Linked DNA regions of Lepisosteus oculatus. The protein of the gene in region 2 purifies or fractionates together with the protein of the main gene of each other region. This does not show direct contact. Links are inferred from orthologs where the notes say so. Each region holds a gene or a part of one and is shown on either strand. Other genes may lie near its edges.

Region 1 (10,592 bases), on a different chromosome or scaffold from region 2:
AAGCAAGCTCTTTCCAATGAGAGGCATGGATTAAGCAAACCCATCCTGGCACAGACATACTGTATGCTGTGGGTGCCAACTATTTTCATTTTTGGGGTTTGAATTTCCCAATTTTTCTCGTCTTTTTGACTTGTTTTTAGAAATCCCAGTTGTTAAGTCAACTCAGCCCTCGGTGCAAACGGCAGAGTAGTGTGTCAGGGGATTCCTCTCTGTCAGCTCAACGGGCTGCAGCAGAGCCCCTGCAGTCCAAGTTTCAGGCTGCAGCCTGCTATTTTTATTCAGCTTGACAACACTGGGAAGGCAGCTAGGCACACTCACTGGCCAAAATATTAGGAACATTTGTCACTAGTCCCCTGAATAAACTCATTTAGCTGCAAACAAGGCATGGTTCCCTTGAATAACGCGAGGCAGACTTCCACCGCTTTTCCCAGCTTGAACTGCTCCCAGATCTCGGTCCCGGAGGACAGACGAGACGCTGGCGGGGTTACTCGCAAGTTACCCATCACGACATGGGCTAAGAGAAAATCCTGCTTGAATAAACGACCAGCAGCGAATAATTCTGAACCCTTAACCCCGAATACTGTACGTCCCATATATTAAAGTTGTTTTTGTCATTGCAAGAGTCAGAGACTGTGCTTGTGTGTGTGCGTGTGTGCTTGTGTGTGTGTGTGGGGGGGTTCTTCAAAAGTTTTGGCTTGTCCCTGTAGATTCTCTTGCTCACAAGCAGACTGCAAAGTTTTTATATTGCACTCTGGCCTCTACTGTAGGTCACTGACTTGAGCCCCCCAGTCAGGGGCCAATCCCAGGTCTTCCTCGGGACAGCTGCTATCTGGAATCTGCCCATTGCACCGCTGTCATGAAGGACCGGGTCAGCGAGGGATCCCGACTCCAGGCCTGGTTTCAGCAGGAGCTCCAATCATCACTCTCGTGCTCCTCTAGGCCCGGGGACCCCATCTCAGCGCTCCATTAAATAATCAAACCCTTCCCGACGTAATGAGAGGTTTAACTTCAGGTGTTTTCAGTACCTATAGTCCTAAACATGGAGGAGGAGGTTGAACCTCCCAGAATCATTTCAGTCACACAGCTATCATTTTCTGAGATCAGTCCCTAAACAAATACATCTGTGGATTTGTGATCATATGCACAATATTTATATATTATCGTTTCATGATTTGCAATACATTTTCACGTGGGTTTTCGGACCCTGCTTTACCTTTCATTGACGTCTCGCACATTACCATTTGTTAATTGGCGGGGAAGCTGTCGGGAGGCTGTGGCGGAGTGGACGGATAGCCGCCGGAGTGGACCGAGGCCAACGAGAATGGCAGCCGGCTCGGCTGGAGGGGGCGGGGTCACGGAAGGAGCCGAACACAGATCGGCTCTTCGGCGAACGGGGACGATGCGCGGCGGGGCTGCACAGCGGAATCAGATCGGTTGTGCCTTGTGCGTGAAGTAAAAAGCGTGACAAAACGGCCGAAGAGGCGTTAATACGTGTGACCTTCTTTTTTCTGAATTAGATATCCAGAACGACTGACGATCTGGAGATTAGTTTCCAAGAGTGAACTCTTTCCCTAAGGACTTGCTGCTTCAATGTGTCAGATAGTTTCACAACACTAACAGAAATATCCGTGAACTATTGTTTAGTCAGTGGCATGGATTGGGCTTAACGTCCTGCCAGGCCAAGTACTCTTTCTACAGCATTGGGCTGAAAGAGGTCGGGTACATTTGTCCACACGTTTTGCAATGAGCCAGTAAAGCTATGGTTTTTGACCCCAGGAAGACGGGGGACAGATTTGTCCCGTTGGAAACTGGTGAAACTGGACGCCAGCAACGCTTTCAGCTTTGGTCTTGGGGGGGTCTTAATTCACCCTCAGACGCCGAAAGCAAGGCCAAAGGTGTCGAAACGCTTCCTAACCTGCGCAGAAGACACCGATTTTACCGATTTTTAAGAACTTTATTTTATTTTCACAAAGAAATACAGGGCATCACAAATTAGAAAGCTTTACATTAATATACATACTTAAACCAGTATATACTGTATGATCACATCCCATGTTTTTCACAGCATCTTGAGATACTGTCCTATGCCCTCTATTTCCCACAGTTTCTGCTTCCTCTTTCCCTTCTCTCCACAGATCTCTGAGGTAATAGTTCTCTCGGGTGATGGACAGGGCCAGGCTACCTGCTGCCTTGACTGGGACCTCGATGCCTGTGAACACCCCCATGTTCCTCACTCTCCACGGGGCGTCTTTCCCACTGTTCACCACGGCCCAGATCCTGTCAATCACGTCAGGAGGAAGTTTGACAGGAGAGATGCCGTATATATAACGAAAGCAGCGGTCAGGGAAAATTGGGGCGAGAGAGCTTGCAACCAGTGTTCAAACTGGGCCCAGAAGGCCTTAGCAAAAAAACAGGACACAGGAGATGGATCACAGTCTCCTCCTCACCGCTGCCCACCCTAATGCAGCGAGGGCTGGGGGTGAGGCCCCTACGGTACAAGAAAGGTCGCTGGGGGGTGGGTAGCTCTCAGTGAGACTGTCTCTGTTCTCTATGCCCTCTCTGTGTCCAGGACGCGTGTGGAGTTTTTTCATGTGGATGGGAAACCCGGAGAAAGGGCTGTGCTTCTGTGCTCCTCCACCGGCGGGGCTCCCCGATTCCCCGTTTCCTGTCCCCGACAGGGGCTCTTACACTGATATTGTTCCCTTGCATTCCCAGAAAAACGGAGCACGCTTGCTTTTCTAAAGCGTGTCCCTACCACGCCTAACATTGCATTCCCAGAAAAATGGATCCCGGAGGTTATCCTACCCCCCGACCAGCGTACTCGACCACCTGACAAGTCAAGCGGGTGAAACTCGGGGAGTTTTTCCGCGTTAGCCGAGCTCCCTTCACGCTCTTGACGACCCTACCAGCGCCGCACGGTGTCCTCGGTGGAACAGCTGCGGACACGCGTGTCGATTGTACGATTCTGGGTCATTGCAAGTCTGAGCGTACCGTCCCACATCTTAAGAAGTGACGAGCGCCCCGGCCCGGGGGAATAGGATACGGTGTGCTCCCCGAAGTCGAGCGCGAGTGGATTCTCAGTTTCTCCCACGCCGGTAAAGCCTAACCGATGGGATATCTCACGAATCCACTCCCCGGGTTCCTCGCACACGGAGTGAAGTTGCTGTTAACAGTGTGCTAGTGGCAGCAGTAGGACCAGCAGCTACAGGGGCGGAGGTAGAGGAACGAGCTGTACAGCAGGGGCCGCTGCAGTAGCCGCACTCGCAGTCAGAGCAGCTGGAAACTGGGGGTGTCGGCTTGTGCTTAATCCCGATCAGGGGTTCCCAGGCCTGGTCCCGCTGAGCCCTCAGTTACACATTCAAACCCTTCATTGACGTAGTCATAACAATAAGACGAATGTGAACGGTTTGCTCTTAAGCATATGGGAGCTTTAACCGTTGTGTTTTGTAAGTGAAATAAAATCCCAGACTTGTGGCTGGAAACAAAATGCAAATAATTCGATTGGAGCAGCTTCTCAGATCCAAGTCCGGCTTCAGTCCTATCAGCAGGGGGGTGGGTCGCCAAGTCCAGGACGGGGATCCTCTGTTCCTGTTGCTGTAGAGCGCCTTTCCGTCCGAAGGTGTGTCAAACCGGCCTACCTTTGCTATTTAATCTTTCCTGTCTGCCCTGTCTTTCTCACACCTGAAGAAGGCTTCACAGCCGAAACGTTGTGTTTTCTCTCTTCTCTTTTCTGTAATAACCTATTACTTGTTCCTCTGCAGACTACGCAGGCTGACGCAGTTGACTTAAACGTTTTGAACACGCAAAGGAAAAAGCAGCGCCAACGTGCTCTAAAAACACGGGACATTTAAAACATAAAAACCGCGACTCGCAGGGCCAAGGATAACAAATCCCAGCCAGGCTAAAATAACCGGAGAACAAGGAGCCGGGGCGTCGGTGTACTGAATTTATTTTTCCTCATCAGAAAGCCTTTTAGCTTCCCAGCATTAGTGCAGAAACTGCCCACTTTCGGATTCATCCAACTCTGCAAACAGAAATGACAGAATTCGTTTAAAATGGATTAACATTTATAGCTTATATTAATGCGCTGTATTTTTTTAAAGTCACCTTGGAAATGAGCGTCAGTCAAGCAAATACTAATTGCAGTAATACATCTATGAATACATATTAAACACTTTCTTGGACTGTCCTCAAATGTACAGTATTTGTGCAATTTCCACAGACACGTTAAATCTTAACACGTGCCTGTGTTATATTTTGCATACGCAATAACGATAACGCATATCTAAATGTGCTGGAGGGGCCCAATGCACTCCTCGTTTCTAACCAGTCCTTTCTTCTTAATATAAAACACACATTTAGGGGAGTAGTTGCTTTTAAAACAAGTCTGACGTCCGTGATATATACTGTATACCGAGCCCGATTTTTAAATGTCTTCAGGATGTAGTCGACTGCATCCTAACGACTGCCCCCTTACTGTCATAATGCAAAATTACACCCAGAAACCAACCTTGTTCCGCGTTTTATGAGGTTTGTTTTTTAAAAAAAACATGAATCGTAACACCATTGAACGGAAACTAACGGTTTAAAAATACTCGAAATGTTCTGAAAAAAAGTTTTTGGTTTTTGGAAACGTTTAAAACATTTTCTATAAATACATGCACATTATAGTGTTCGTAATATTTGTGGAACTGTCTCAGTTCCAGACCGAATGAGAATTATAATTTTTTTGTAAGCTTTTAGGGGGGAAAAAGTCATTTTCTTTGACGTTCTGGCAAAAGGATGAGGTCCCACCGAGATTTGAACTCGGATCGCTGGATTCAAAGTCCAGAGTGCTAACCATTACACCATGGGACCAGATATCTGCACAGCCTGTAAAGCCCTAAGAAAAATAAAAGTAGAATGTTTTTTTTCAATGTACAAATAATACTGGTCGAAATATTTATAAAACACCCATAAAAAATAGAAACATATAGTAACTTGTCCAATACTGTATTTGAGATAATATCGCCGTGAAGGAAAAGGCATAACAAGTTCAGTTTATTCCAAAACTCTTGAATGCGAACGTATGTGATACACGAAGGTTACATATTCTTACCTTTTAGTAAAACTGAGCTATATAGATGGAAATGTCCGCTGTATTTTCCCTTTAATTATGAAAATACAATATAAACCAGTTCGAACACACGAAGCGAACATCCGGGAATCTAAACTCTGAGAACCCGCTTTCAAGAGCTACGCTGATTGGTCCTTCCAGCCGTCAATCTTACACTGTAGCCGCACGGGTTAGCCGGTTGTGAGAAGTATATGCTCTGATACCTGATAAAACATTTGTCTTTAAAATATTGAAATGCGAACAAACGTTTTTTTTCTTGGAACTTCGAATATCTGTAAATTTCTGATATTTTTTCGGTATTTTTGCGGCTTTGCTTTCGCCTTTGTTCACTCGCAATACACTTGACAACACCAAGATGCCCTGTGCAGCTTCACAGTTCGAAATAACTTAACGGTTACCGGCAAACTTCTTCAAAGCAAGGTCAGTGAAAAAAGTTTTTAGAAAAAAAAACGGTTTGTAAGAATGGAAATGGTTTTCATATTTTAGAGCGCTTTTTTTTCCAAACGAAACAAATGTACTAAAGTCGTTAACATTTCCAAATTTGGGGAATGTGTTTTAAGATACCGTACAGGGGGGGAAAAGGACGGTTTCCTGAAAAAAAGTATATTGATCTGTCCGGGGGCGGTGTGGTTGCTTTTATATCTGTGTTTCCGGCAGGAATGCCGAATGATTTCTTGGGCTAGCGACACGGGACCGGGTCCTGTATACAGGTTAAGTCATTTCGTCTCCCAGCTGATATCGAGGACGAGAGACGATGTGTTGTCTCCTTGTTCCTTAGGACCACAGGTTGGGATGCGACCTCTCAGCCCTACTGCCATCGCCGAGGGTTGATGAGGCGTGAGGGGCCCCGGCGGTCCACCTGGAACACGGATCTGCATCCAGACCTGCCTCGGCCCACACAGACGCCTGGAGAGCTCGGAGGGGTCTGTAACATCATGTGGACCTCTGGTAAGTTACCCACTGCTTTTCAGACTAATAATGTGATGGATACTTATGGCTGGGTTTACTGTGGTATACCAGTGGAGATCCAGCTAAAACACGCTAAACCAAAGTTATATAGCAAAGCATAGAGCATCTTGATAATTTTTTCCTCCTTTACTTCTGTATCACGTTTTGAGTTTTTCACGCTGAGCAAAATTTGTAAGTCCCAGAATGCTGCACTAATTGGTCAGAGTAAACTACAATTAAAAGCACTGTGCATGGCTGGCTTTCCAAGGCATCAGGAAAGCCTTGTTTGCATTATTTCTGACCTCTTGGCTATTTAATGGAAAAATTGAGTTTCGTGAAGTGGGCTGGCCTGGGTTTTATGCAGGTGGTGATTTAAAGAGGCCAGCGAAACATACAGCCTTGGGCTCGAAGAAGTACCTCATTGCCCTCGACTATTCTTTAAAGGATATATTGGGAGTGTAGCAATCTGCACTTACAGGGTTAACAACAACAACAATAATAAAAAGATTCATCATCGTCTTTTATTTTAAAAGTGCCTTTCCAAACCCAAGAATGCTGTATATAGTGATAAAAAGACAAAAAGTACAATGAAGAGTAAAAGAAGAAAATAAATAAGACAAATTAAACAAAAATGTCTGGCGATCAGACAAAGGCTTTGGTGAAAAGGTGAATTTTGTGTTTGGATTTGCAGAGAGTCAGAGAATTTGTGGAATCTCATAGAGTCTGTGGAAGGTCATTCCATACCAATGGAGCAACAGCAGAAAAGGCATGATGACCAGATATCCGAAAGGATGGGTTGATTCAAGGACAGGAGTGGAAAATCTTCTGAGATTGGATGTGATTGCTTGACATTTGAAGTTGTTTTAAAATCCACTCTTGCAAAACAAAACTAGCAATTGTTATTCTTTGGTCACTTATTTGCTCAAAGTAAATGGAAGTACAGTATCAATCAAGCTAACCTGCCATGTTGTCGAAGCCGATAGTTAGCTTCTGGAAAGAAAACAGGGTATCAAGTGGGCTACATGGGCTGAATGGCCTCCTCTTTTGTAAACAGTCTTATTCTGTTGTAAAACTAATAGTATAATCACAGTGAAACAGCTTTACATGGTTAGTTTTTTACCCATCAGATGGGTTTTTCCAAGTATAGAAGGCAGTGAACTTTCTGTCAACCTTTTGCTTGACTGTTACTCCTGATAGTTGGTGGGTGTTGACCACAGCATGACTAATGTTCACGCCATGTCTAGTAAATGTTTTTCAATGTCCTTGAAATTGCAGTGAGATTGCCAAACATCTGCAGTGTCCTCTGCCAGCACTCTACAGCAAGCCTGTGGCAAACATGCAAATTAATAAACAGGCTCTGTCAGACGTTACATTATTTTTGAAAAGCAGAGTGACCGTTTGCTGTTTGTTACTTCTGGGAACTAAGGAATTCTATGCTATTGATGTGAATAGTTTTTTAAGCTCCCGTTTTTCACCTGTTCTCTTACATTTTGAGACGGAGAGTCTTGTTTTCCCTGCTGGAGCAGGGGTCATTTTTCCTTGACGGAGGGCTTGTTCTGTTACGGAACAGAAGGTGAATTAAAGATTTAATAAAACAGATGCTGCCTGTCTTGTGTTTGCCTAATCTGAGCAATTGTTGCTCAGAATCCATAGTGTATACCTTGGTTAAGCATTCAAACTTTGTTTTGCACTCCAGTGCGCATCAGCTCGTTGTTGTGCTGCTTTGCTTTCCAGGGAACATTAATATTGCATCAGATCCAGGGAGACGCTTCTTAAAACCCAAACCAGCAGCACCTGGCGGATGTCATTCCTCAGCACTTTACCCCCTCGCAGCCTGGAGCTTGCTGAGCGCACTCCCATTGCCTTCCTATCAGTTGAAAGTCTCTGTCCAGGCATCCACATCATGCTGCTCAGTAATGGCTAAGGCCAGCCTTTCTTATCTGTAGGCAATGATTGCAACACCTCATAGACTGGATTTTTCTTTCCCTAACCCTGTCTTTTCACAGCCATTCCCGAAATGTGTTCTTGGCAATGTTGGCTTTTTATTTTCCTAGAATCTTTGTGTGACTTGAATTTTGCCGCACTTCATTTTCCCTCAGTCGGTTTCCTCTGTGCACAGCTCGTAGTCCTGCTTTGAAAGAGATAACAGCAGCTCTGTGTGTTACAAAATTGAAACGAAGCATCTTTCTTTAAAATTAGCTCCCTAAAAGTTTTCACTGCGGGTGTAAACGCACTGTGTTTTTGTGAGGAAGAGCTCTGTGGCTAAGGATCTGCCCCTGTGGCTACTACTCCGGTGGGGCCCTGAGCAAGACCCTTAACCCCAACTGCTCCAGGGGCGCTGTTTAAATGGCTGACCCTGCACTCTGACCCCAAGCTTCTCCCACTGTCTGTGTGTCTCATGGAGAGCAAGTTGGGGTATGCGAAAAGACAAATACCTAATGCAAGAAAAATTGTATATAGCCAATAAAGTGATCTTTATCTTAAAGAGTTGAATGTAAGCTGAAGTGTGATGATGTTGTAATGTCTTGAGGTGGAGATACTATAGACAGATGGAAGTATAAGGGAGGGCAGCTGGGTGGCACTGTGGTGAGCATTGTTGCCTTGCAGTTTTAGGGCCCTAGCTCAATTTCCAGTGTGCTGTCTGTGTGGGGTTTGTATGTTTTCCCTGTGTTCACATGGGTTTTCTCCTGGTGCTCCAGTTTCCTCTCATAATTCACAGACATACTAGTAGGTTGATTGGCTTCTGTAAAAATTGGCTCTGGTATGAGTGCACACGTGTTTGTGTCTGTGTACCCATGAATGGATTGGCATCCTGTTATATATCCTGAGTATATCCTGCCTTGCGCCTGTTACTTGCTGGGATAGGCTACATTTCCCCCAGAACCCTATATTGGATAAAGTATTTAGAAAATGGATGTATGGGAGGAACAGAAGTATTCATTTGCCCACAGTCCTTGTTTAATCGTACAACAAATGGAAATGTAGTCATGCTATCTGTCTGTTTGCCCATTCTTTCATCAAGGGATTTTGGCCATTTTAATGGAAACATTGCATATTCCATCTTGACTTTTCTTCCTTTTTCAAAAATGTTGAGGTTTTGAAATTTTCCAGCACTAAGTGCTTTACCATAGAGCTCCATCAGCGTGCCACCCACACATGTCAATTGTGAAGCAATGCCCTTTTAAAGGCTTCCAGGAAAGCTTTAGCTTTGCAAGATGTTTGCTTAAAATACAAGGTTTCAATTGGTATTGATTTTCCTACTCAATATTTTTTATTTGCCCAGAATTTCTGTTTGTGTAATTTAAAAAAGTTAATTGTTGTGCTTAAAATCAGATGATGGAATGTGTGATGTTCAAGATGAAAGCATATAAATCTGAACTAGCAGGTTACTGCTCACCTTGAGCTTTGAAAGGCCGTGCTGATTTGATTTGTGAAAGCCTGTATACAGAGAAGCATAATTGAATTGCTAGCTATACCAGCGTGTGGTGCAGATTTCTAAAGGAAGCAAGTGCATGGCCTTGTTCGATGTTTGGTTATTGAAGATTTATATAACAGAACGGTAGTTGATGTTCCAGCTTGTGACAAACTATTCATTTGACGACTTCAGTGTTGAATCAAATGCAGAATAGTTCATGGGACTCATTTGCTTTCAACTTTAACAATTGAAGGTTTGATTTCAGCCTTTTTTATGTGTTTACAAGGAATGTTTTGTGTGTTCTGTTGAGGCATTTCAAATTGGTAAACAAGTTTAAAAATGTCATTAAAATATAACTCGTATCTTCTAAATGTGCTGCCTTTAAAGTCAGTAAGCATGAACCAAGACATCCTCCATGTACGCAGTAACAACGCATGGATGTCCAGTCAGAGCTGGTATTTTGAAAAATAAATGAGCTTTTACACAATCCTGTGAACAAAACATGAATAGTTAATTAAATGGGTATGTTACAAAGAAATGCAGCAACGTTCTAAATAATTTGATACCTGAAAAATTCCCTAAATCATAAGACCTGTAAAAACGTAGATTTACTATATATAGTCCTATAAAATGGAAGCATTTCTATTACTCTAATTCTTGGTTTGTGGTATAAAGGTCTGTCAGATCCATTAAAGCCACTTGATACTCTTTATACAAACTGCACATTTTACAGGCAGTTTGTTCTTATTTTGAAAGGGTCATAAAACATTTAACAAACTTGTTAAAGGTGTCTGTGAGTGTAGGTGTTGCTTATACAGTATATGTTATATGCACCTTTAAAGTGCAAAATGTTGTGCTTTCCAGTTTTCTTTACAAGAAAAACATTGCAAAATACAAAATTAGATCCCGAAATCACATTTGTTGTGATTATTTTCCTATTGTAATAAATATAAGCAACTGATTCTTGTAGGATGGATGACTTGAATAATTAAAATTGTTAACTTTACAGCACCTTGAAGAATAGTTTTTCTTTGCATTTACCTTTGCTACAATAGGTAAGCTGTGTAGGCATGTTTTCAGACTGGCCACCAGAGGGGGGGAGAGGGCTGTTTT
Region 2 (10,486 bases):
TCCCTTTGCACGATAATAATCAGCTGTTCTTCTTCACGAGTCTTGCCAAACATTTCTGTCAACTTTTCAAAAGATATAGCTCAACTCCCAAAGAACTTCCAAAGAAAAAAAAGCAAATAAGTACAGAAAACCTTAGCAAAGGACAAATACAGAAGCATGTTACTGACAACAGAAACAATTAACAAGGACTGAATTTCCCTTAGAATACTTATTACAATAATTGAAAGACAGGGAGCATCATGGCTCGCAAGAAATGTTCTATGTGATCATTAAATGTAGGCTAATCTCTTAAATGCCAGAGATTGGACTGAATGGGGATAAAACTGTGAAGCCTAATGTAGTTTGTGCAGTACAGCTATTGCCCACTGGTTTGACCTACCAAACCTCTTTCAATGGAAAGATAGGCTTGAAGAGCATGCCTTATTTGATCCAATTACCATTATGGAACTAGACACTGTATTTAAAGGGGACACCTTACAAATAGTTCTATTTGTAAGAGTCACTTTAACAGAATGTCTAAGCCTTGTGTAGAAGGATCCACCTCTGAGTGCACCTCAGTTAACCCTACAAGTGCCTGTGTGAGAGCAATAAATCACAAATTGTATAAACTTTGAAAGTATCTGTGAGGTGAAAGTGTTTGAATGTAATGCATACATTTTACTCTCTATATTTTCATTTTTTTTGCACTGTGTACAGACAAACCCTTATCTTAACTGTCTTCCCAAAACAGTGTCATACTCTGGCTGAACTTGCTCCCTATAGCTTCCCCTGTGCACCCAATGTACCAGGGGGTATCTGCAGTGTAAAATGTGACTGAAGAAATGAGCCAGACTGGCTGTGCTGAGAAAATGCACCCCAGATGCTTGAGTAGCACTGCGGTCAAAGAGAAATATCAGTCGTTTGCAAAACTGCACAGCAAAAATACGTCCCAGCTCCGAATATTATTTGTTGTGTAACTGGGGTGGGCAACTCCAGACTGCCGAGGCTGCATTTGGTTTTGGTTTTTTAATATAGCTTAGACCTTAACCTTAACTGAACTAATGGAGAATATCAGAAGATCAACTGGCTGTTCTCCTGGTATGAGCAGGTGCTACTCTAAGCTAAAGGAGCCCATAGGAACCTGGCACCCCTTAGCTGGTGTTACCCACTCCAGATATAATCTGTGACATCAGAAGACCTGTCCATAAGTTTGCCTTGTTAAATTACTGAAATGAGTATTTTTTTCAGTTATTTCATTACAGACTTTTATTAAAAACACAAGAATATTTTAATAAAAATATTTTGTACAAAATGGGAAAATTAGATCTAATTTTTATTCTTTAAACGGATGTGCGTTGTTTGAAAATTAGACTAAGCTTTTTTTTTTACTTTTCCCATTAATACCATTATCAGAGTGGATCTGGCTAGCAATCATATGAGTGCAAACCTGATCAGACACAAATCCCCACAAAGGGAAATACGTGTGTGCTAATTATTATCATTATAAATACCACAGCAGTTAAAAACTAGAGTTTCTGTAAAATAACACACTTGCAAGACTTTAGCGACATGGCCTTTGTGGGCAATAAGACATTACATAAAGATTTCCTTAGTGCTCTTCTAGAACAATAATAGAGAAGAAAATCGATTAACCCAATACCTGTTCAGTAATTTTGAACTTCACCAGTTAAATTACCATAAATGCTCCAAAATAAGTGGAATCCTCATTCAAATACACAGAGTGGATGTCATGAACCTTCAAAATGAGCTGGTCCCCCTGCTGCAGCTGGAACAGTGCCCCCTGGTGGCTGGAAACTAGATCGCGTTCCAGCTCCATGTTCCAGCATCCAGTGGAGGCAGCCTTAGAAAGAAGGATAGGCTCCTGGTAAGATGTCTTCCTGTATATGTAGTGTAGAAAAGGCTGGGCCTGCTCCTTGCCAGCTGGGCGCTGCGAGTGGTAATAAACCTGGGAATAGACAAAGTAAAGCCCATCTCGCGGCACCACTATGCCTCCATCCTGACTGTATCCCATCATGCCTTCTTGCACGGCCATGCCATTCACATTGTCCCAGCGTACAACGGCTCCTCTGGGAGTCGTCATGGGGCCCCATTGACTGCCTGTGGAGTACAGAATAAAGACAATGAGCAACAAGCTTTCCTACGGAAATCGAACAAGACACTAAATGCAACACCGTCGTGTAAAAACATGCTCCCACCTGGCTTTAGCCACAGAAACTGTCTCCAGCCCTGCTCGGGGCCCAGGTGGATGGCTGGTTTGTTGGCGTGGGTCAGGGACACATTGTGGGCTGTGAGAAATAGATGAAAACATCACGGAAAGAAGTACCTTATAAAAACCCCACATTTGCCTTGCAGATGGTCTGATACTTATCACAATGCCTACAGTACATGCTCAAAACCTCCAACTTTCGTTCGTCTTCTTGATCTCCAGCATAAACAAACGAAGCACTGTGCTTCTCAAAAACATGCCGCAGTGACTCAGTGCAACTGTCGTGACACTTGGGCGGAGCGGTGGCTCTGTGGTTAAGGATCTGCACCTGTGGCTGGAAGGTTGCCGGTTCAAATTCTGTGGTTGGCAGAGGAATCCTACTCCATTGGGAATTGTATATGCCTACTAAAGTGATCTTTAGGAGCAGTGCTGGGCAAGGGAACCTGTTGGACAGGATTCTGACAGTGTGCTGTGCCAATGAGGACAGTGATTTGAATATGTTGCAAAACAAAAACATACCTGTAAGCTCCTGATACAGGGTGTTCCTGACATCAGATATCAGTTGCTGCAAGACAAAACAACAGGCTCCAGTAGTCAGCACTAGGACGAGAGCGTGTATGTGGTGGACTGAATGACATATCCCACTTGTCTACGTCACTTATTTCTCTCTTGCTTGGGACTGCAAGGAGAAGGGAGCATTACAGATCAGGACTCCCATTGAGAATGGAATTGGGTGTTTCTGTTCTGTTATAATAATTCTTTACACTTAAATAGCACTTTTCTGGACACTCCACTCAAAGTGTTTTACAGGTAATAGGGACTCCCCTCTACCTAAGTGCAGCCAGATGGCACCAGTACACTCCCCACACACCAGCTCTCAGTGGGGAAGAGAGCAGAGTAATGAAGCCAGTTCAGAGATGGGGATTATTAGGAGGCCATGATTGGTAAGGGCCAATGGGAAATTTGGCCAGGACGCCGGAGTAACACTCGTCGAGATTCTTTTGAGAATCATCCTGGAATTGATAATGACCACAGAGAGTGAGGACCTTGGTTTTACTGAGTGTCCCTATCACTGTAGTGGGGCATTAGGACCCACACAGACTGCAGGAAGAGCACCCCTACTGGCCCCAATAACACCTCTTCCAGCAGCAACATTAGTTTTTCCAAGGAGGTCTCTCATCCAGGTACTAACCAGTCTCATTCCTGCTGAGCTTCAATGGGTCGCCAGTTGTGAGTTGCAGTTTGATGTACTGTAGCTGCTGGCTCGTCTATTAAGCTCTCCTTTCCCTAGTCTTGGTTAGTCCAGCGTGAGTGAATCACTGCCTGTTAAGTGGGAGTCTCGTTACCTTCCCGATAGTTTTCTTGAGCTCCGCATTCCACTGGTCACAGCCGGCAAGGTCTTCAGAGCTGAAAGATGCATTTTCTCGAAGGCCTGGATCCACTAGGTACTGCAAACACTGTACAGGATACTCTCCGAGCCTGGCCACCTCCTGGGTCTGGATAAGTGAAGTACAATCAGAGGCGTAATTGCAAACGCAGGACGCATACTTCTGCTCTGTAACCGGGCGGTACAAGTACCTGCGCCTCTTGTGTTTCGAATGATCAACATGGACTCAAAATCACAGTTCATCTCACTTTTTTTTAGATAACGATTAACCCGGTAGTCATCAAACAATTTAAAAGTTTTTAAAACATCTAGAAAATGAGCGGCTTATATGCACAAAAAAAGTAATTCATAGTACAGGAAATCAGTATTCCGACAATAAAAAACATATTCAAGCAAACTAATGTTCCAAAATAGTTTTCATCGCCGTTTTATTCTCTGTCTCCTAAGTGAAGTCCAGCCAGAACTGAAACTGATCTGTTGCTGAGCAGCGCGTACAAAAGTCCACCGACATTACTGTACCTTCAAGGAGTTCTGTAAGGATGAGCAAAGCCAGTTTTTACTGTTTAATCAAGAACAGTGTGTATTAATATGATAAGCTTACCTGCTTTATTTCCAGAGCCAAACTGTAGAACAGATAGGCAGCCCCAACCACTTCCGCTCCGAGTAAAAAACACAAAACCAAAACGAAACTATTCCAGCTCCCGACGCTCAGCTTCCTCTTGGGCGACAATTTCTCCTCCAGCTGCCTGTAGATGCGGTGGGTCTGGGACTCGGTAGTCATGTTTCTGTCGTGGGGATCCACATCGTTATGATAACTCAGCAGCAAAGATTAAAAACAGGGTCTACAGAGAAATGGGAGCCCCCCCAGCCGCCTTACTGAGCCCAAGCAAACCTGCCCGTTACAAGAACTGCGGTCCTTCCCAGTCGGAAAGTCCCGAGCGCAGTTAACGCCTCCTGAGTCACTGTGGGTGGGATGAACGTTTTCGGAGGCATTGATTTATTTTGGTTTAAACCTTTAACTGCAGTTATTTCTACAATTTTAATGCTAGCAATTAACAACAGCGACAACGAATATGATGATATTATTTTTTTTTGTTTTTGAACTTCACAGGTATGCATGCATGAATGCGTTTTGTCGCAGCCTGAGAAAATGTAGACAACACACAGCTGACCTGGACCTCATCTATGGCCATCGAGATAAGAAAGATCGGTGAAGAAAACTCACAGCGGAAAAAAAATAAATAATGTAGCGCACGCATTATTTAGAAAACACAACAAACTATCTTTAAAATTAAGACAGAATCGAAAATTGTAAACTACTTAAAAAAACGAATCAGAGGACAGGGGATGATTGGATTAGCAGAAATGAAAAAAATGTTCTCAATCTACATCATCAAAAAACCCCAACAACAACAGAACCTGTTCATTCTCCGAAGACTTCTTATTCTGGAGAAAATATAGTTTTGTTGACTATGATGTCCTGCCACCACTGTTGCTGTATTTACAGTATATTGTACATTATTAAGCAGTACAGTACTATATTCATGAACAGACTTGTTTGCTCTCTTTGCAGTCGTGAATAGTGGGCTGGTTTACTGGGGGAAGGTTCAAATTCAACCCTATGGAATTTGCAATATATCCATATGTCTGTTTATATAGGATCCGCCCCCGACCTTCGGAAACTTCCGTCAGTATGTCTGGCTGCTTCGGCAATTTCCGTACGCGGGTCTGGCGGATCCGGCACAGCGATTGTGTTGTCTCGCCGTGGTTATTCGGTTCCCCTTTCGTGTGTTTCCGCGAAGACTCGGCACTTGTCGTAGCGGAAGGGGGAAAGCCTTTGCTGTGATGCCGCTGGAAAGATGGCCGCTTTCGGGATCCTGAGTTACGAGCACCGGCCCCTAAAGCGGCCGAGGCTCGGGCCTCCCGATGTTTATCCGCAGGACCCCAAGCAAAAGGAGGTGAGGAAAGGGGGCTCCGGGCTGTCTGAGCCCCAGCAGGGCACTGGAGGGGGTGCCCGAGCGGGCTGGCTGGGAGTCGGGCTTGCAGGAGAGTCCGAGGATGCAGCCTGGGCCTGTTTTGTGCTTCAGTAACAATAACAATGAGCAGATACACAGACGTGAAAAATGACATTAGGTTCTTGCAAAACTGTTTGAGTTTTACGTGCAGCCGGAGAGCTCAGTAGCCGCTGTTGTACAGGGACTTGTAAAAATAACACCAGAAATGCTGCTCACCTTGTGTTTTTTAATAATTTTATATGCCCAAGGTGGTTTTCTGCCTTAAACATAGACGCTGTGCTCCAGTGTTTATGGCAGAGATGGGAATATTCCCGAGCAGGCTGAATACACCACAGCAATGTGTTTTAATTATGCACGGAGCTACGGTTATCAGTAACTGAGTGCAGCAGTGGTGCTAAATGACGTGACGAGCTGTTGTGCACTAGCTCTGTGAGCCTGGACGCCGGTTTGTCGTTGAGAAGCAGTTCTGCTGTCCTTCTAACCAGTCCCGTACAAGAAACTTTACAGTTTCAGTGCGGTTGTGATCAGCCTTCCCCAGATCGTACCGGGGTGACTGACGGCGCGAAGCACTTCAGTCGCTGCCCCTTACGGTCTGAGAGACGTTTCTGAAATTTCATGTCTTATTGCTGTGTGAATAGCACACGTAGAAGGCGTCAGAGGTCATTTATCAGTGTGGAATAGTGTATATAATATACATATATATCGCACTACTGCAACGACATAGCTTGCTGCCGAGGTTCTTGCAGCCCAGGGCACTTGTGCCAGCTGGTTTGGAAAAGAGCCCACCAGCACAAAGCAGGCAACATTAGATAACTCTAAGGAATGGTTTTCATTTTCAGTTTGTAATCACGACAGTCTTGTCATTAAGCACACTGCTGTTTATATATCAGTGTGGAAAACACTAGCTTGTCAGGAGTCTGCAAAGTAAGAGGCAGGGGGGCAGGTTTGGGTGACATTTTAGACGAGACACGGGGAATGCTTTCCTTTTTTGTGTACAGCTCGGTGATCAAAGTTGTGCCTTGTGGGATGTCCTGTGTCTATCGTCAGTGCAGCTTTCACACTCCGGTGTTTGCAAACGAACGGCCAGTGTAGCCCGTGCGCCGGTGGGGGAATGGAAGTGTGTAGCACCTCCTGTCCCAGCCGCAGGGTGGCGATGACAGTGCTGTGCTGCTGGCCACTCAGTCTTGGTGCTTTATCCCGTCAGGATGAGTTGACAGCTCTGAATGTGAAGCAGGGGTTCAATAACCAGCCGGCGGTTTCGGGGGACGAGCATGGCAGCGCCAAGAACGTCAACTTTAACCCCTCCAAGGTAAGGAAGAGTCCTCAAGGTTTGCTTGGCCTGCGTTCTTCAGTGCCATCTGGTTGCAGCAGTGTGTGCCACTGTAGGAAGCAAAAGCTCTCATTGTCTGCTGAATTTGTGATAAGTTGACATGGGTTGATGGAGTTGTGTACCTTTTTGTTTCTTTGGCTTTACTGTAAACAGAAGGGCATTTGTGAACATGAGCTTTTGAAAGATAACAACTTAACATCGCCACTCTGATTGTCTTTATTTCACCTATGTGCTGTTTTTGTAATTGATGTTATTTGTTTGGTTTTCTTTGCTTCTCAATAGATAGTCCTTTAAGTAATACTTCAGCTTTCTGTCAAGTTATGGGATAATAATAGTGGAAGTCTCTAACCCTTTTAGTCCATCCACGCTTCTGTTACAGTATGAATTCAGTGCTCATTCGGTTCACGTTCTGTTCACAGATCAGCTCCAATTTCAGTAGCATTATTGCAGAGAAGCTGCGATGCAACACGTTCCCCGACACAGGAAAGAGGAAACCCCAAGTCAACCAGAAAGACAACTTTTGGTTGGTCACTGCGAGATCCCAGAGCTCCATCAACAACTGGTTCACAGACCTGGCTGGAACAAAGCCTCTCACCCAGCTTGCTAAGAAGGTGTGAACAGTCAAATCCAGTTCATCATGCTGAACTTTCTCAAGTTATACGTTAAGTGTTATGCTTGGTACAAAATGCATTTTTCTTTTAAAATGAAAAGAACACAACTTCACATGAAATGTAAAAAACACATGTAAATGTGTTTATGGAACTTCAGTCTGAATATGTAGATAAAATAATTCTGAAATTAACTGCATGTAAGGGAGAATGATGAAAGCCATATGTGCCTCTGAGAGCCTTTGATTCCTTTTTGTTTGTCCTTTGCTTTGACCAGGTACCCATTTTCAGTAAAAAGGAGGAGGTTTTTGGCTACTTGGCCAAGTACACTGTGCCAGTAATGCGTGCTGCATGGATGATCAAGATGACCTGTGCCTACTATGCAGCCATAACCGAGACCAAAGTGAAGAAGAGGCATGTGATTGACCCCTGTATAGGTAACCACTCCTCTCCCTCGTCCTTCATGTCAGTGTTGCCGAGCTTTGACTGATGTGAAGCTGTTGATTAGTAGCATGCTTGTAGCGGGGCTTTTGGAACTCTTTAGGAAGAAGACAAATGTTTTTTTTGTAAGATGTTGAAAGAGTTTTGTTTTCATAGCCTTCAGCAGTCCGGGGCAGGATCTGATTTCACCTCGGTTACTTAAAGGCTATACAGTGTTAGTTGTGCATTTAACTGCTTCATGAAGGACACAGTAAATATAATTCTGTTTGACCACAATGCAAGATGTTCCCCTTGAGCCTGTAGTTTTTTTATCGTTGTGCCCGTGTGCAGAATGGACCCAGATCATCACAAAGTACCTGTGGGAGCAGCTGCAGAAGGTGGCTGAGTTTTACCGTCAGTCGTCCAGCCAGGGCTGTGTCTCTCCACTGCCCTCCACCCCAGTGGAGGTGGAGACGGCGATGAAGCAGTGGGAGTACAACGAGAAGCTAGCCATGTTCATGTTCCAGGTCAGATGAATGCAATTCGGCTTGTCCTCCTGGAGAGTGTAATACAAAACTCTTCCAGACATTTAGTTGTAATCAAATATTTATAGATGTCTTATTATATTTCCCTTATATATTAGTGTTTAGTGTTCAGAAGGGTGATCACTTTTCTTCCAAGGTCCTCCAAAGAGTGTTAAAGGAAATAATGGATTATTCAGGGATGTGACATTCAGAGCAGGTCATGTGTTTGGGGAAAAGGGTGTATCTTCGGTGCTCTTGGAGGTACAGTAGCTGTGTTGGGCCGGTGCAAACTGTAATTGTGTAAAATGGTGTCTTATTTGTGCTGCCCGGTTCGCGTGTTTTTAGGATGGCATGCTAGACAGACACGAGTTCCTCACTTGGGTTCTGGAGTGTTTTGAGAAGATCAGACCAGGAGAGGATGAGCTGCTGAAACTGCTTCTACCGCTGATGCTGCAGGTAAGCTGACACAGGCGCTGGTCATGTAGTTGCAAGAACATTTTCCCAGGTTAATAATAATAATTGCTTACACTTATATAGCGCTTTTGACACTCTACTCAGCGCTTTACAGGTAATGGGGAGTCTTCTCACCCTCCACCAATGTGCAGCCCCACCTGGATGATGCGATGGCAGCCATAGAGCCATAGAGCGCCAGTATGCTCACTGCACATCAGCTATCATTGGGGAGGAGAGAAGAGTCATGAAGCCAATTCATAGATGGGGATTATTAGGAGGCCTTGATTGGTAAGGGACAATGGGAAGTTTGACCAGGACTCCGGGGTTACACCCCTACTCGTTTCGAGAAACGCCCTGGGATTTTTAATGACCACAGAGAGTCAGGACCTCGGTTTTACGTCTCATCCAAGGACGGTGCCTGTTTACAGTATAGTGTCCCCGTCACTATACTGGGACATTAGGACCCACATGGACTGCAGGGTGAGCGCCCCCTGCTGGCCCCACTAACACCTCTTCCAGCAGCAACCTTAGTTTTTCCCAGGAGTCTCCCATCCAGGTACTGACCAGGCTCATACCTGCTTAGCTCCAGTGAGTTGCCAGTTGTGAGTTGTATATTGATATGGCTGCTGGCTTAATGCTGATCACCAGCGTTTCACAGCGATTCCTAATCCAACTCCAATGCTGCATTTTCAGATGGTATCTTTCCCACAGTGTTTTCCTGTTTCAAATAAAAATGTGTCCAGCCCTGTGCTTGTTAACGGTGTGTGCTTGGCCTTTGTGTTGCAGTATTCTGGGGAGTTTGTGCAGTCGGCCTACCTCTCCAGAAGGCTGGCCTATTTCTGCACGCGCCGGCTGAACCTGCTGCTGAGCGATGGGACTGTGGGACCAGGAGCTGGGGGGCATCAGACCCACAGCATCACGGCTCAGCCAGGCAATGCCTTGCCACCCACGCCAACCCCCCAGCCTGCGGGGGGCAACCAGCCGCAGACTCCCTTCACAGACTTCTACATCTGCCCCCAGCACCGGCCCCTAGTCTTTGGGCTCAGCTGTATGCTGCAGGTAAGATGCTTTCTGCCTCTTGGGGTGTTTACCAGCACCTCTTTACATCTGGCAATTTTTTTTAATGCTGGGAGTTTCGTTTCCCCTGCACTGCATTGACCATCATCACCCAGCCTGTAATTTGTTTTTCCTGCACTGTGAAGGTCCATGGTTGATTGGTTTGTTAGTCTGAATTGCTCTTTTTCTGTTAGTCGAAAACCGGTTTCACCCATTTCTAAGGTTCGAGTTGTAGTGTGGACTTTGAATTTGCTGTGTCAGAGGAACATTTCTTTTTTAGCAGTATGTGGTTGAAAGGAGTAGTTGCCCGAATGTCTGGATTTTGCTGCCTTAGCACGCCTGTGACGTGATAATTCAGCCTGTCCTCCTTTTCTGCAGAGCATTGTCCTGTGCTGCCCCAGTGCTTTGGTTTGGCACTACTCCCTGACAGACAGCAGGAACAAGACTGGCTCCCCCCTGGACCTGCTGCCCATTGCACCTTCCAATC
Region 3 (11,609 bases), on a different chromosome or scaffold from region 2:
ACCTATAAAGCTGGTAGCAGAGCTATATTTATAGCGTGTAAACTGAAAGAAACAGGAATATCTTCTTGCCTATCTTTTCGTCAAACAGCCACTCCACTTGGTTTGTATAATTTAATCAACGAAGCTACAACTGACAGCTCCCGGAGGCTTTGTTTTGCAAAACACTGTCTTGCGGATTCAGAATTTATCTCAGATTCACGCACAGTAGTAAGTAATCATTATCAATGAGTCATATACCCAAAAAGTAAAACTAACAAGACTTGTTTGGTGAAATTATCCCAAAAGGAAACATCTGCACAGTACTAGTACTGGCAGGAGAGAAATGCAATGAATCTCCTTGTTGCGAAAGTGCTAAAAATATTAAAGTGAAAATGCCAAAAGAATTGCAGCACCAGAACTCAATGCAACACTTTCTAAAAGACCTACCTTATCTTATGGAGAAACTACACAACATCTGAGCAATTCAGTTGCAACTATAGTCGAGAAAAAGTTTGGAATTATCTGGATTTCTGCATGAATGGCTCCTAAAATGTGATCTGATCTTCATCCAAGTAGAATCATCAGTGGTTCTCAAACTCTTTGGACCAAGTACCATCCCTGATCAAACCAAAGCATCCAAGTACCACCTACATAGAAACCCCAGAAAATCTCAATGACCAACATGAGCACGCACACACACTCAAAATAACAAGAGCACTGAGCACTTGGGCCGTACCGCCTTGTAGCCGTTTTCGGACGCTTGCCAACACTAGCAGTGCTGTCTGTCGGGCTCAGCAGCAGAGCCAGTGTTGGTGGCTGATGTGTAATCCTCCTCGCTCTCAACAGGTGTGCGGGATCTATCGGAGCTGGGGACAGTACTCTTGGTGTCTACTCCTTTCAGCCATGACATGGTACTTGATTTCTGTGACATGTTCACTTTCGATCGTTTGTTCTGTTGGCGAATGTGTGGCTAAGCTGTCTCTGAAAGCTCGGGAAGACTATGACCACTCAAGTATGAGCGCGCACTGTATCAACGTAGCTAAGTAAATAGGCTGTATTTGACAGAAACTAATTTTATTACAACAGAAAATATGAAAACCCATCTCAAGCTTTCTGAAGGCGATTAAGTAAATTACAGATGAAAAATGTACATAATTTTTCATTCCCAATTTTTCAGTGCACACAATAAATTTCCAGGGTCATCAGCCGTACCACCTGGGGGCGCTCCACAGTACCAGTTTGAGAACCACAGATCCAAGTCCTAATAATAAATAAAGACTTATTTAACAAACACACAACCGTTTACATTGTCTTATCTTTATTGAACAAATGTTTTAAACAATCAAGATCATTGATGGAAAACGTATGTGAACCTCTAGGATATTGACATCTTGAAAAGAGATTGGAGTCAGGTATTCCAATCAATGAGTCAGCTGTTCCAATCAATTTAGGTGTGGGCTTGATCTGCCCTGCCGTATCAAACAATCACACAGTTTTGGTTACCTGCTCTTCATAACAGAATTGCAATATGGCCCGATCAAAAGAGATTTCAGAGGACCTCAGAAGAGAGTTTTTGAAGCTCATAAGACTGGAAAAGGTTACAAAAGGATTTCTAAAGACTTGGGCCTCCGTCAGTCCACAGTCAGGCAGGGTTTACAAGTGGAAGAAATTCAGCACTGTTGCTACTCTCCCTAGGAGTGGGCGTCCTACACAGATCAGTGCAAGGGCACACCGCACAATCCTCAAACAGGTGACAAACAACCCCAGGGTGACAGCTAGGGATCTGCAGGCATCTCTTGCACTTGATAACGTCTGTGTTCATGAGTCCACCATGAGATAAACACTGAACAAGAGTGGTGTTCATGGGAGGTTACCACAGAGGAAACCACTGCTCTCCAAAGAAAACATTGCTGCCCCATCTCAAGTTTGCCAAAGACCACCTGGATGTTCCACAGCACTACTGGAACAATGTACTGTGGACAGATGAGACAAAAGTTGAACTTTTTGGTATATGTACACAGCGTCATGTCTGGAGAAAACAAAACACTGCACACCAACACCAAAACCTCATCCCAACTGCGAGGCACGGTGGAGGGAGTATAGAGGTGTGGGGCTGCTTTGCTGCCTCAGGGCCTGGACGGCTTGCAATCACTGAGGGACCAATGACGTTGTATCAGGAAATTCTACCGCACAATGTCAGGGCGTCTGTCTGCGATCTACAACTCAAGAGAAGTGGGGTCATGCAACATCGCAATGATCCAAAACACAGGAGTAAATCAACAACAGAGTGGCTCCAGCAGAAGACGTTCCGGATTTCAGAAAGGCCAAGTCAGAGTCCTGACCTCAATCTCACCGAGCTGCTGTGGCGTGATCTGAAGCAGGCCGTTCAAGCACTCATCGCGGAAATATACATGAAGTGGAACAGTTTTGTGTAGAGGAAGGAGCCAAAATACCTCCCAACCGCTGTGCAGGTCTGATCAGCAGCTACAGAAAGTGTTGGGTTGAGGTTACTGCCAATAAAGAAGGTTCCCCTCATTACTTAATATAAGGGTTCACATACTTTTTCCATCAATGACCTTGATTGTTTAAACCATTTGTTCAATAAAGAGATGGCAATGTAAAATGTGTGTTTGTCAAATAAGACTGGCTTTATTTATTCTGACTGAGATGTAGATTAGATCACATTTTAGTAGCCATTCATGCAGAAATCCACATAAGTCCTAAGGGTTTTTTATACTGTAGGGGGATGCCTATTTTATTCTGAAGAAAAAAACCACTTCTATCCATCATCCAGAAAGCTGGATTTGTTCAGTTTGTGTGAAGGAGAAAAAATGCCGAAGCAGCGGCAGATGTTCTCAAGACGCATGAATATATGTGCAATTCCAATCAAGCTTATACTGGGGTTCAACAAGGTCAAATGTCTAAATTCTTCAGTGCAGCAGAAACGTTAACAGTTTCAACGGTAATGGAAGAGCTTCCAATACAGCGTTAAAAGGGAGGAAGCAGACTCACCTCCCTTATAACTCCTTCCACTGTGCTGTCTAACTTTGTTCAGGTCTGTGCTGTACACGTTCGCCCCTGACTGCACACTAGCGCATGTTACGCCACTAGCCTTCCTTGAGAGCACTGCAGGGTAAACCACGGAGAGCTAAAAAAGGCCAGGGACACTCGGGCCGTTTCCTCATTCCAGCCTCCACAGAGGCTATAAATAACACGGTGGCATTTCAGGAACCGGAGGAGCCAATGAGCAGGGGAGGCCGGCTGCAGACCGGCACAGTCGCGGATCGCTCGGGCCTCAGCGCGCCGGTGACAAACACTCATGACAAACAGGAGGCCTGCACTGCACTGCACAACAGGCGAGCAGAAAAACACTCGGGTTTTGCACCCTACTTTAAAGGCCCTTTTCTGGCTCTGAAGACACACTGGAAAGGGAGAAGACCAGCTGGTGAGGCGCCAGTGCCCAGCCTGGCGACGGGTCCGGGCGACCCCCTGTGCAACCCCCCTGGTGCTCACAGAAACGCCGAGCAGAGCCTGGCGGGCTGGGTATGGGATTAACGCTCACCCTTTCGCTGCCTGGAGGCTGCACTCCTGAAATCAAAGACTGGATTTCCTTAGACGGCTCTTCTACTACACCCATCCCCTGAGGGTGGCTGGACTGGGCCCCTCCTGTATGCAAAGTGCTTTAGAGTCCTCTGCAAAATACGCTATAAAATAACACACTGTCAGTCCGAGAACCACCTGCTGCTCGCCACTAGCCGAGAGTGCGAGGAGACCAGAGAGAAAAGAAAAAAAAACACACAAATCTAAAGCAAACTCTTTTCTCGCCCCCCCCGAAGCGTGCTCGGGGCGAGCCATGTGCCCCCTCGCGTGGAAGCGTCTGTCGCGACCCGCCCTCTTGCACACGGAGGGGGTGGGGTGGGTGGGGGTGTGCCTTTCAGAGCCGCCCGCGATGATTGAAGGGCGCACCCGGCGGAGCGGAGAGGGGCGGCCCGATCGCGCCCGCAGGACTGCCCCCGGGAGCGGGGAGGTAAGTCACCGCGGCCGCAAGCACCGCTCCGCCACGGGGGGGGACCGGCCCGGCCGCATTCCCGGGCCCCCTCCGACAAGGGATGGATCCGCCGACAGTCGGCTCCACGCAGCCCGTGGGGGGAGCCACGTTTTGCCCGTGCGCCCAATTGCATTCACTCGACTGCCCCCACGTGTGAAGCCCGTGCGTTCTCTCCCCCCACCCCTGACTCGCCACTTTTCTTTCCCGTGGCACCGCCGTCTGTCACAGCCCAGACCACTCTCTCGCCCCCCCCCTCCAACTGGGGGAGGGAGGGAGCAGCGGGCCTGCAGTGGCAGTAAATCACCAGCGGGCACCGGTGACTGCGCACAGAAAACCCACCCGCGATCCCCCACGCATGCACGCACACGCATCGCTGGAGACCCCTTCGCCGGCTCTCTCCCTGCGAGGGAGCCCGGCTCCACCCCCCCGGGGAAGGCGAGCCCGGGCGACCCGCAGCGGCCGAGCCCCGCAGGACGAGCGGGGGACAGGCTCGGGCCGTGGGAGGGAGGGGGGGGGTGAGAAGGGGGGGATGGTCTCGGTGCAGAGCCAGCAGCACACGGCTCTCCCCTGGCCGCCGCCGCGACGCGGACACGACACCCGACCCACGACACGCACCCGGGGCAGCGAGGCTTCAAGGCGCCACGCAAAACGGATCGCCCGCTGTCTCCCCACGTACATACGCACACGCACCACAAATGAAAAAAAAAAGACTCAATCGGCCCCGTTTTTTTTTTTTAGGGGATCGCGTTTTGCAAGGAGGGGGGTGCGATTAAAAAGAGCACAACCGAGCGCAGGGCAAAGGCTGCCGTGAGAGGGACCGCCCGGCCGCACCAACCTGGGGATGTTGCGGAGGTCTCCTGTCCCCTTGCTCTCGTCCTGCCGGGAGAACCACACCTCCAGCAGCTTCTCCGTCCCCTCGAAGAAGTGTGCACCGTTCTCTTCCATCGTGAGACAACAGACACCGACAACAGAAATTACAAATTACACGTCGGGGTGGTGGTGGTGGGGGGGTTTGGTGGCTGTAATTTTTCAGATTTGCGTTAATCCTGGCGAGGTTCGGATAACTTAATGAAATGGTTAATTCAGTCTTGTGTTGTTTTTTTTAAGCAGTCCAGGTGTCGTTTGCTTGATTTTTTGCCGTCTTCCCTTTGACAGAGAATACCGTTTAGCGAGCGCTAGCTAATGTCGCCGGCCATACTGTGTAGAGCCGCGAGCGCCGCTCGCCCGGTGCTTTTATTACCTCCCTGGCGACGTCACAAGCGGGCCGCGGCCAATCGGGCGCCTCCGAGCCCATGGGCGGCGCGCCCATTGGCTGCCCGCCGTGCCAATAACTCCCGACAGGGGCCCGCCTCGGCCTACAGTTACCTTGCACACGCGAGGGGCAGCTGAGAGGTTCCTAATACCCCGCCTGTTTGAGTGTGTGCTTTCAGGAGGAAGCCTGGCCTATTGCGAGCGTTTGACACAAAAGTGACATAAGGTTTGTGCAAGATCTGCTTATTAGGTCTTGGGGCGAATGCAACGCAATCGGGTGGGATACGCATTGCACCCTAGCCCATTAAAGTAACCTTTTCCTCGGTAGGTAGGTGCAAAGGTATGTTGGGGTTTTGTTTTCAAATTGTTATTAAGTCTGGCGGGGTTCATCTTCAAGTTGGTCTTCACGCATAAGTCTGCACTCTGTTTTGTTTTGTTCTATAACATCTCATTCGACGTGTGAAACACAGCCTTATTTTTTGTGACCATTAACTTTTCTCTGGAAAACGCCGCTGGAGAGCGTTCGAATTTGCTGGATGGATTGTACTGTAAATCTCCAGTTCGTACATACGAGGAATTGTAAAAACAGCATTTATTTCAGTAGTTCCAGCTACTGGACTCATCACGTGCACCTTTTTAATCACTGTTATGTTATATCCCATATGGTGAGACATTATAAGTTATATGTTAGATATTATACGTTATATGCAAAATTTCTGATAAACCACTTTACATAGAAGAGCACAATGACACTCCAGTTACTTTGGAGTTTATAATGCAAATGTTTTGTTGAAAATGAGCGGCCATGAATTGGTGTTATCAGATAATTTTATAAGCCATGGCGTGCTGTTGACACAAAATACGATATACTGCACGTTACTGAGAGATTGAGATGTTTTCAAACAAAATAGAGTCTGGGAAACGGCGTCAGATGTTTAGAAAACGAGAAAAGCTGTATATAAGTACCACTGAATGACGGTGCATTTGTAGGAATTTAACCTGTACTAAAAAACTCAAGAAAAAAACAGTAACAGAGATGTTCTCCATACACATTAAAACTATAATTTACAATGATTTGCGTCCTGCAGCCAGGTTATTAATTAAATTCATGGACTATTGGAATATACGCGTTGTACGTGTAACGGCTGAATTATAAAACATGACCTTAAGTTTTCAAGCAGTTCTCAGTAAGTTCAAACATCTGCTGTCACTGCTGCTTTCACCAGCCACACGCCGATCGGAACTTCCGCCCCCGGCCCAGACCCCAGTTCGAGAAAACAAACGGCAAAGGATTGAAAACCATAACGACAGTCCGCCGCGCTGCAGCGCGGAAACTCGAGATCGGGGGGTGTTCAGTTCTGAGTACATGTGAGATCTTTGCATCCATAGGCTTCCCCGCAAGTACACGTGTTTCACCGACAAGATGTTAACGTGCAACGCTCTGGACCAATTAGATGTGCGGTGCCTCTTGGGCAGGTACTACTGTGAGTAATGTTACGACAGACTACCACATGCACAGAATTAAAAGGCAAAGGGTCACCAGTCCCATTCAGAACACACATCTAACGTGAAATGCACACGACTATTATACGCCCGGCTAAGAAACGGGAGCACCGACTTCTTTCTTGTTTTTTTTAAAAAAAAAACCCACAATTGCGATTTCTGCTCTTGGGGTGACCTCTCCGCAGAAGTAACCAAGTCACGGTGTTTTATAACAAACTGGGGGGGCGGCATCCGCACGCGATTAGATAATCGCGGGGCATTTCTGAGCCTGGGAAAACAGGACGACTTTCACGGTACCGGCCACACAGCGGCACTGACAGAAGACCCACCCCCTTTAAAATACGCGTATGCGCCCATTCCAAGCCTTCCACTAGACGCGGAAGACGGACATATGTAGAGATAAACATTGAAACATTAGCCGCCGATCCCGTGCTGCTGCATTTTTGTGGGGGGTTGTAAACCCCGACTGCGCAGGCGCGCCGCCCGCAAGGGGTTGGCGGGGAGTGTAGTTTCGGGACGGCGGGGGCTCCGTTAGGGTAGTCCGCGGGCCCCGTGGGTAAGAAAACCACAACCCCCAGAATGCAAAGCGCGCTCACCCAGAAACGTCAACGAGCCAGTGAACATTAAGCGGAGCAGACCAAAATCCCAAACAAGGAAATGATGGGGGAATTGAACGCTTAGATTATTTAATTAACACATTTAATAATTAATATTTTATTTTTGTTGTAAATTAAGAAGTATTTATGGGTTAAAATGGATTACGATTTCAAAACGAAGCTTGCAGCCGAGAGGGAGAGAGTGGAGGATCTGTTTGAATATGAAGGTTGCAAAGTGGGTCGAGGCACCTACGGGCATGTTTATAAAGCCAAGCGCAAAGATGGGTAAGAAAAACAACTGACATTATGATGATTAAAACCCGGTCATTTTACATGCATGTGCTGCCCCGACTGGTGCTGAAACAGTCACAGGCTTCTCCGACTGGATCTGGGGGTTATGCATTCCGGCTCGGACCCTGTCCCGGTAACATGCACACCAAATGTTGATTTTCTGTCACTCCATGTCAAGGGGATTGCACGTAGCTTAATATGGACATACAACACACTTTAATTATCCCCTACAGAACAACAATTCACCTTGGTCTGAGCAGGTCCTCGGGGGCGTCTTGAAAACTTGGAAATCTGGTCAGGCGATCAGTGAATTGTAGCGTTAGGCTGAGGCGTGCACGGCGCTGGAAATGTCACGCTGTTTTTTTCTGGAAACAGATGTACTAGAAAGTTATGGTCTTCTTCAACCCCCCCTCCCCCCACGTTTTCAAGTGTGCATCCTCTAAGCTAGCGGTTGAAGTTGAAAGCACTGTCGTCAGGCAATTATCTGCGCGACGGGCACATAACTTGCATATTTCAATGCGGTCCCACGAGTCGATAGGTGCACACATGTGAAATAAACGTGATCAAGGAGCCTCACTGGGAAGTTGGTTTGGCACAGCGATGTTGCTCGTCAGCCCAGGGTAAATGTTACATTTCAGTGGTTGGCTCAGTCGGTCTGAGATTCACGTGGAAATCGAGGTCAACCGGGTACTTGAGTTACTGTGTTGCAGCGGGAGCACGATTTGGTTTCACGGGTGCACAGTCATCAAGTACCGGTTCTGCTTGGAATAACCGAAATAAACATTTGCTGGCCGAAAAAAAATAACCGGATAAATAACACCGTGAAGTCTCGGGCGGCAGAAAGTGAGCAAAACTCTGCCGCCGCCGCACCGTGACACAGGCAGTGCACAGTTTCTGAATCCGGGTTTGCCGCTTCGACACTTTGTCTGCAGGCCGCCCGGAAAGAGACGGTACGAAACACTGTTTGGGTCAAGTGCATAACTGGGGCGTTACACGTCGAGGCCCCGGTTAGCTCCTGAACTATTCCCGTCTCTTTCGGGGTTCTTTTCTTATTTTGTTTCAACCGATACCTCGATTGTTGAAGCTTTCGTCGGCCTGTTTGCCTTGTACACGGCACCGTGTCGGAAGCTATTTTTCAGAATTCCTCTCGTTTTAAGGTTTATTGTCTTAAGAGAAAATGTAAAGAGTGTCCGTACAGATCAGACCCCCTACTGCTTCACTGCTGTCCCCTCCTAGTGGTTTGCCCTCCTCCCTGGACTCTTCACGACCTCTTTTGAATCAGTTGTTTACTCAATGGGTCTTTCCTGTCAGTGAGGTCTAGATCACCCCAAGACCATGCAGGCCCAGTTAGTGACTAACTTCTCAGTCCAAGTTCACACTAGGAGGTGTCAAAAGGCACGTCTGTTTAGGTCAAATGAGCTTAAATGACTGTTGCCCTTAACAAAAGGCTGTCGCACCTGTATGTGTGTGCCTAATATTTTCTTCTGGTGTCTGAAACGTTTATTATGTTTACAGTTAGTTTCTTTTTCTTCCCAACCTGCTTGCTCAGGGAAGAGAACGGTTTGAATTCATGGTGTGGTTTAAATTTCTCCTTATTTTCCAAGCACTCTTTAGATGCATACGCCAGTGCAGAAGCCTGAAGTGTATCTGTTGGTGTATAGTGTCGGTCAGTACCAAGCCGGAGGCATCGCTGAGTGCTGTTTAAGCGTCTGTTGAGGAGGTGTGAGTTAGGCTCCTGTAAGGAAGCACAGGGGAGTCTAAAACCAGGTAGCAGGGTTGAGAGCAAAATGCAGTGAGAGTTGAACCGGAGAGCAAACTGACCTTGCTGTGTTTTTCTCCCAGGATTCCTATTTTATAGAGGTAGATACTTGCTGCAGCTTTGTTTAAGACTGGTTGCATGTCTTACATAGGTATTAGTGTCAACCGGTACCTGTACTGATACAATGGGATTCTTACTTACAGAAAGTCTCTCGATTGTTAAAACAAGTGTAAAAACACAAAGTGCAGCCAGTGCATCAAGACAATAGAGAAACAAACAGCAGACAATGGACAAGTAAACAGTTCGAATGTAAACAATGCAGACATGAATCCATGATGGTTAAAATGCTGTAGGGTTTTAGAGTTGAATAAAGCTCCTTTTTCTTTTTTTTCATATTTGTAGTAAAAAAAAAAATCCTGAAGTTAGCATATATCTGAATGTAAATTGTACATTGCTATGATTGAGAACGGGTAAAATATTTGACAGCAGGAACTGTAACTAAGTACGATTCCTGTACTAAGTGAAGATGATTGGCGTCCCTTCCAGGGTGTATCCTGCCTTATGCCTGTTGCTTGCTGGGATAGACTCAACAGGCAGATAGCAGCCTGGGAATTGAACCCAGGTCCCCAGTGCTGCAAATCAGCAATTTTAACCACTGCACTACTGTGCTGCCCCAAGACGGGTTCAGCATCTATTAATTACTCGTAATGTTTATCCACATTTTCAAATGGGCTGAGTGATGTCTTCTGATCTGTCACCTCTCTTCATCCTGAGCAATGTAATGTGAAACTAGCGCCGAACACGATTCTGTCGCAGCTACGGTATGTAATCACCAGCCTGGCGATTACAGTGATCTGTCGTGAGCAAGCTTTCAGTGGAGGGCTGGGCTTGAAGCAAGCAATGCAGGAAATGTAAACATGTTAAGTTGTGACAGCTGAAAGAGCACAGCAGGCACCTAACAGGAGTGGAGAAGGTGAAAGCAATTAAGGGGAGTTGCGGTTTTGCATTTGCTAATGCCGACAGACCTGAGCCTTGTCTCAGAATTTAGGCAGTTTTTGAAACAAAACAAAACATTTAGCCATGGTCAAGACTGGTCAAGCCATCACAGTTTGTCGTGGGACACCGATTGAATGTGAACACGTACTACAGTAGTAATCTGTTATTCCAAGCATGATGACATTTAACTAAAGAGCTAGTTTGAGTTGGAAATGTGTAAATGATCTGAAATAAAGCACCAGCAATGTTTTTGTTTGCTCCACCTTTAAAAGGACAATTCTATTATTTTATCATCTCTTCAGTGGGTGGATTTTATCATGCCAGCTTTATTATTATAAATAAATAATCAATGACTTTAGGGCATCTGCACCTCATAATTGCTATCTAATTGTTTTAGGACACTTATGGAATGTTCCTGCACAGATCTATAAGTAACTAATAATAATAATTCCTTACACTTATATAGCACTTTTCTGGACACTCAACTCAAAGCCCTTTTGCAGGTAATGGGGACTCCCCTCCACCACCACCAGTGTGCAGCCCCACCTGGTTGATGCTCACTGCAGCATCGCCTGGGCAAAGTGGCTATTGGTATTCAGCTTTTAGTTGTTGCTTTGAAAATATTTTTGGCGGCACTTCAGCATTAGATAGGCACATAAAGGCGTAAAATAATTTTCCTGGTCATGAGCACAAAGCTCTTCTGGCAGTGATGCGCAGAAATGACGTGAGGCAAAAATAACTCCTTGTGTTGTGGCAGTGTGTGGCTGTATTTCACCTGAGATAGCGCCTGCTGGCAGGCCCAGGGCTGAGGTGGCACTGCCTTTTACACAGCAGCGTGACCAGACTGACCCCTGACCCCTGACCCCTGACCCCACGTCTACTGCTACTCCCACTCCTAGGTGACAGCTGGTGGCGCCGGAGGAGGGGCCGCGTGTGGTAAGCCAGGGTCCAATCTCAGAGGCCTTTTTTGGGAATTTTAAAAGATCTACACACGTTTCTAAAAAAAGTGTGCTTTTTGGACTCTGGACCAAAAGGCTGATTTTCAGGAATTCAGAGTTTGTTAGTTCAGTTAGTTACCCTTGTTTTGGACATGTGGAGGCCATCTTGTCCAAGGCGCCATCAGTGGGGAAAAGGTTACATGGAGCGATTGGGTAATTTATCTGTCGCTGTGTCAGATTCAAATGGT

What was found.
Region 1: the proteins of med12 (region 2) and vitamin D3 receptor B purify together in Homo sapiens (affinity purification with mass spectrometry; 3 studies listed by BioGRID, with this or other methods). This does not show direct contact. The link is inferred for Lepisosteus oculatus from reciprocal best matches to the Homo sapiens genes MED12 and VDR.
Region 3: the proteins of med12 (region 2) and cdk19 purify together in Homo sapiens (affinity purification with mass spectrometry; 10 studies listed by BioGRID and IntAct, counting the BioPlex papers as one, with this or other methods). This does not show direct contact. The link is inferred for Lepisosteus oculatus from reciprocal best matches to the Homo sapiens genes MED12 and CDK19.

Annotation. Positions count from the first base shown.
Region 1 is NC_090696.1:16,680,583-16,691,174, forward strand, and holds the start of vitamin D3 receptor B, read left to right. Parts: upstream 1-5,305; 5' UTR 5,306-5,536; intron 5,537-5,894; 5' UTR 5,895-6,064; intron 6,065-10,592.
Region 2 is NC_090703.1:52,280,765-52,291,250, forward strand, and holds the start of med12 (mediator of RNA polymerase II transcription subunit 12), read left to right. Parts: upstream 1-5,368; 5' UTR 5,369-5,452; coding exon 5,453-5,551; intron 5,552-6,812; coding exon 6,813-6,917; intron 6,918-7,357; coding exon 7,358-7,549; intron 7,550-7,823; coding exon 7,824-7,983; intron 7,984-8,317; coding exon 8,318-8,493; intron 8,494-8,835; coding exon 8,836-8,946; intron 8,947-9,729; coding exon 9,730-10,002; intron 10,003-10,377; coding exon 10,378-10,486. Other genes in the region: tnfsf10l4 (tumor necrosis factor (ligand) superfamily, member 10 like 4), read right to left, coding at 1,667-2,097, 2,196-2,285, 2,726-2,771, 3,553-3,702, 4,195-4,374. UniProt on the Homo sapiens protein: Component of the Mediator complex, a coactivator involved in the regulated transcription of nearly all RNA polymerase II-dependent genes.
Region 3 is NC_090697.1:5,169,120-5,180,728, reverse strand, and holds the start of cdk19 (cyclin-dependent kinase 19), read left to right. Parts: upstream 1-7,231; 5' UTR 7,232-7,534; coding exon 7,535-7,662; intron 7,663-8,282; exon of another isoform or gene 8,283-8,511; intron 8,512-11,609. Other genes in the region: amd1 (S-adenosylmethionine decarboxylase proenzyme), read right to left, coding at 4,863-4,972.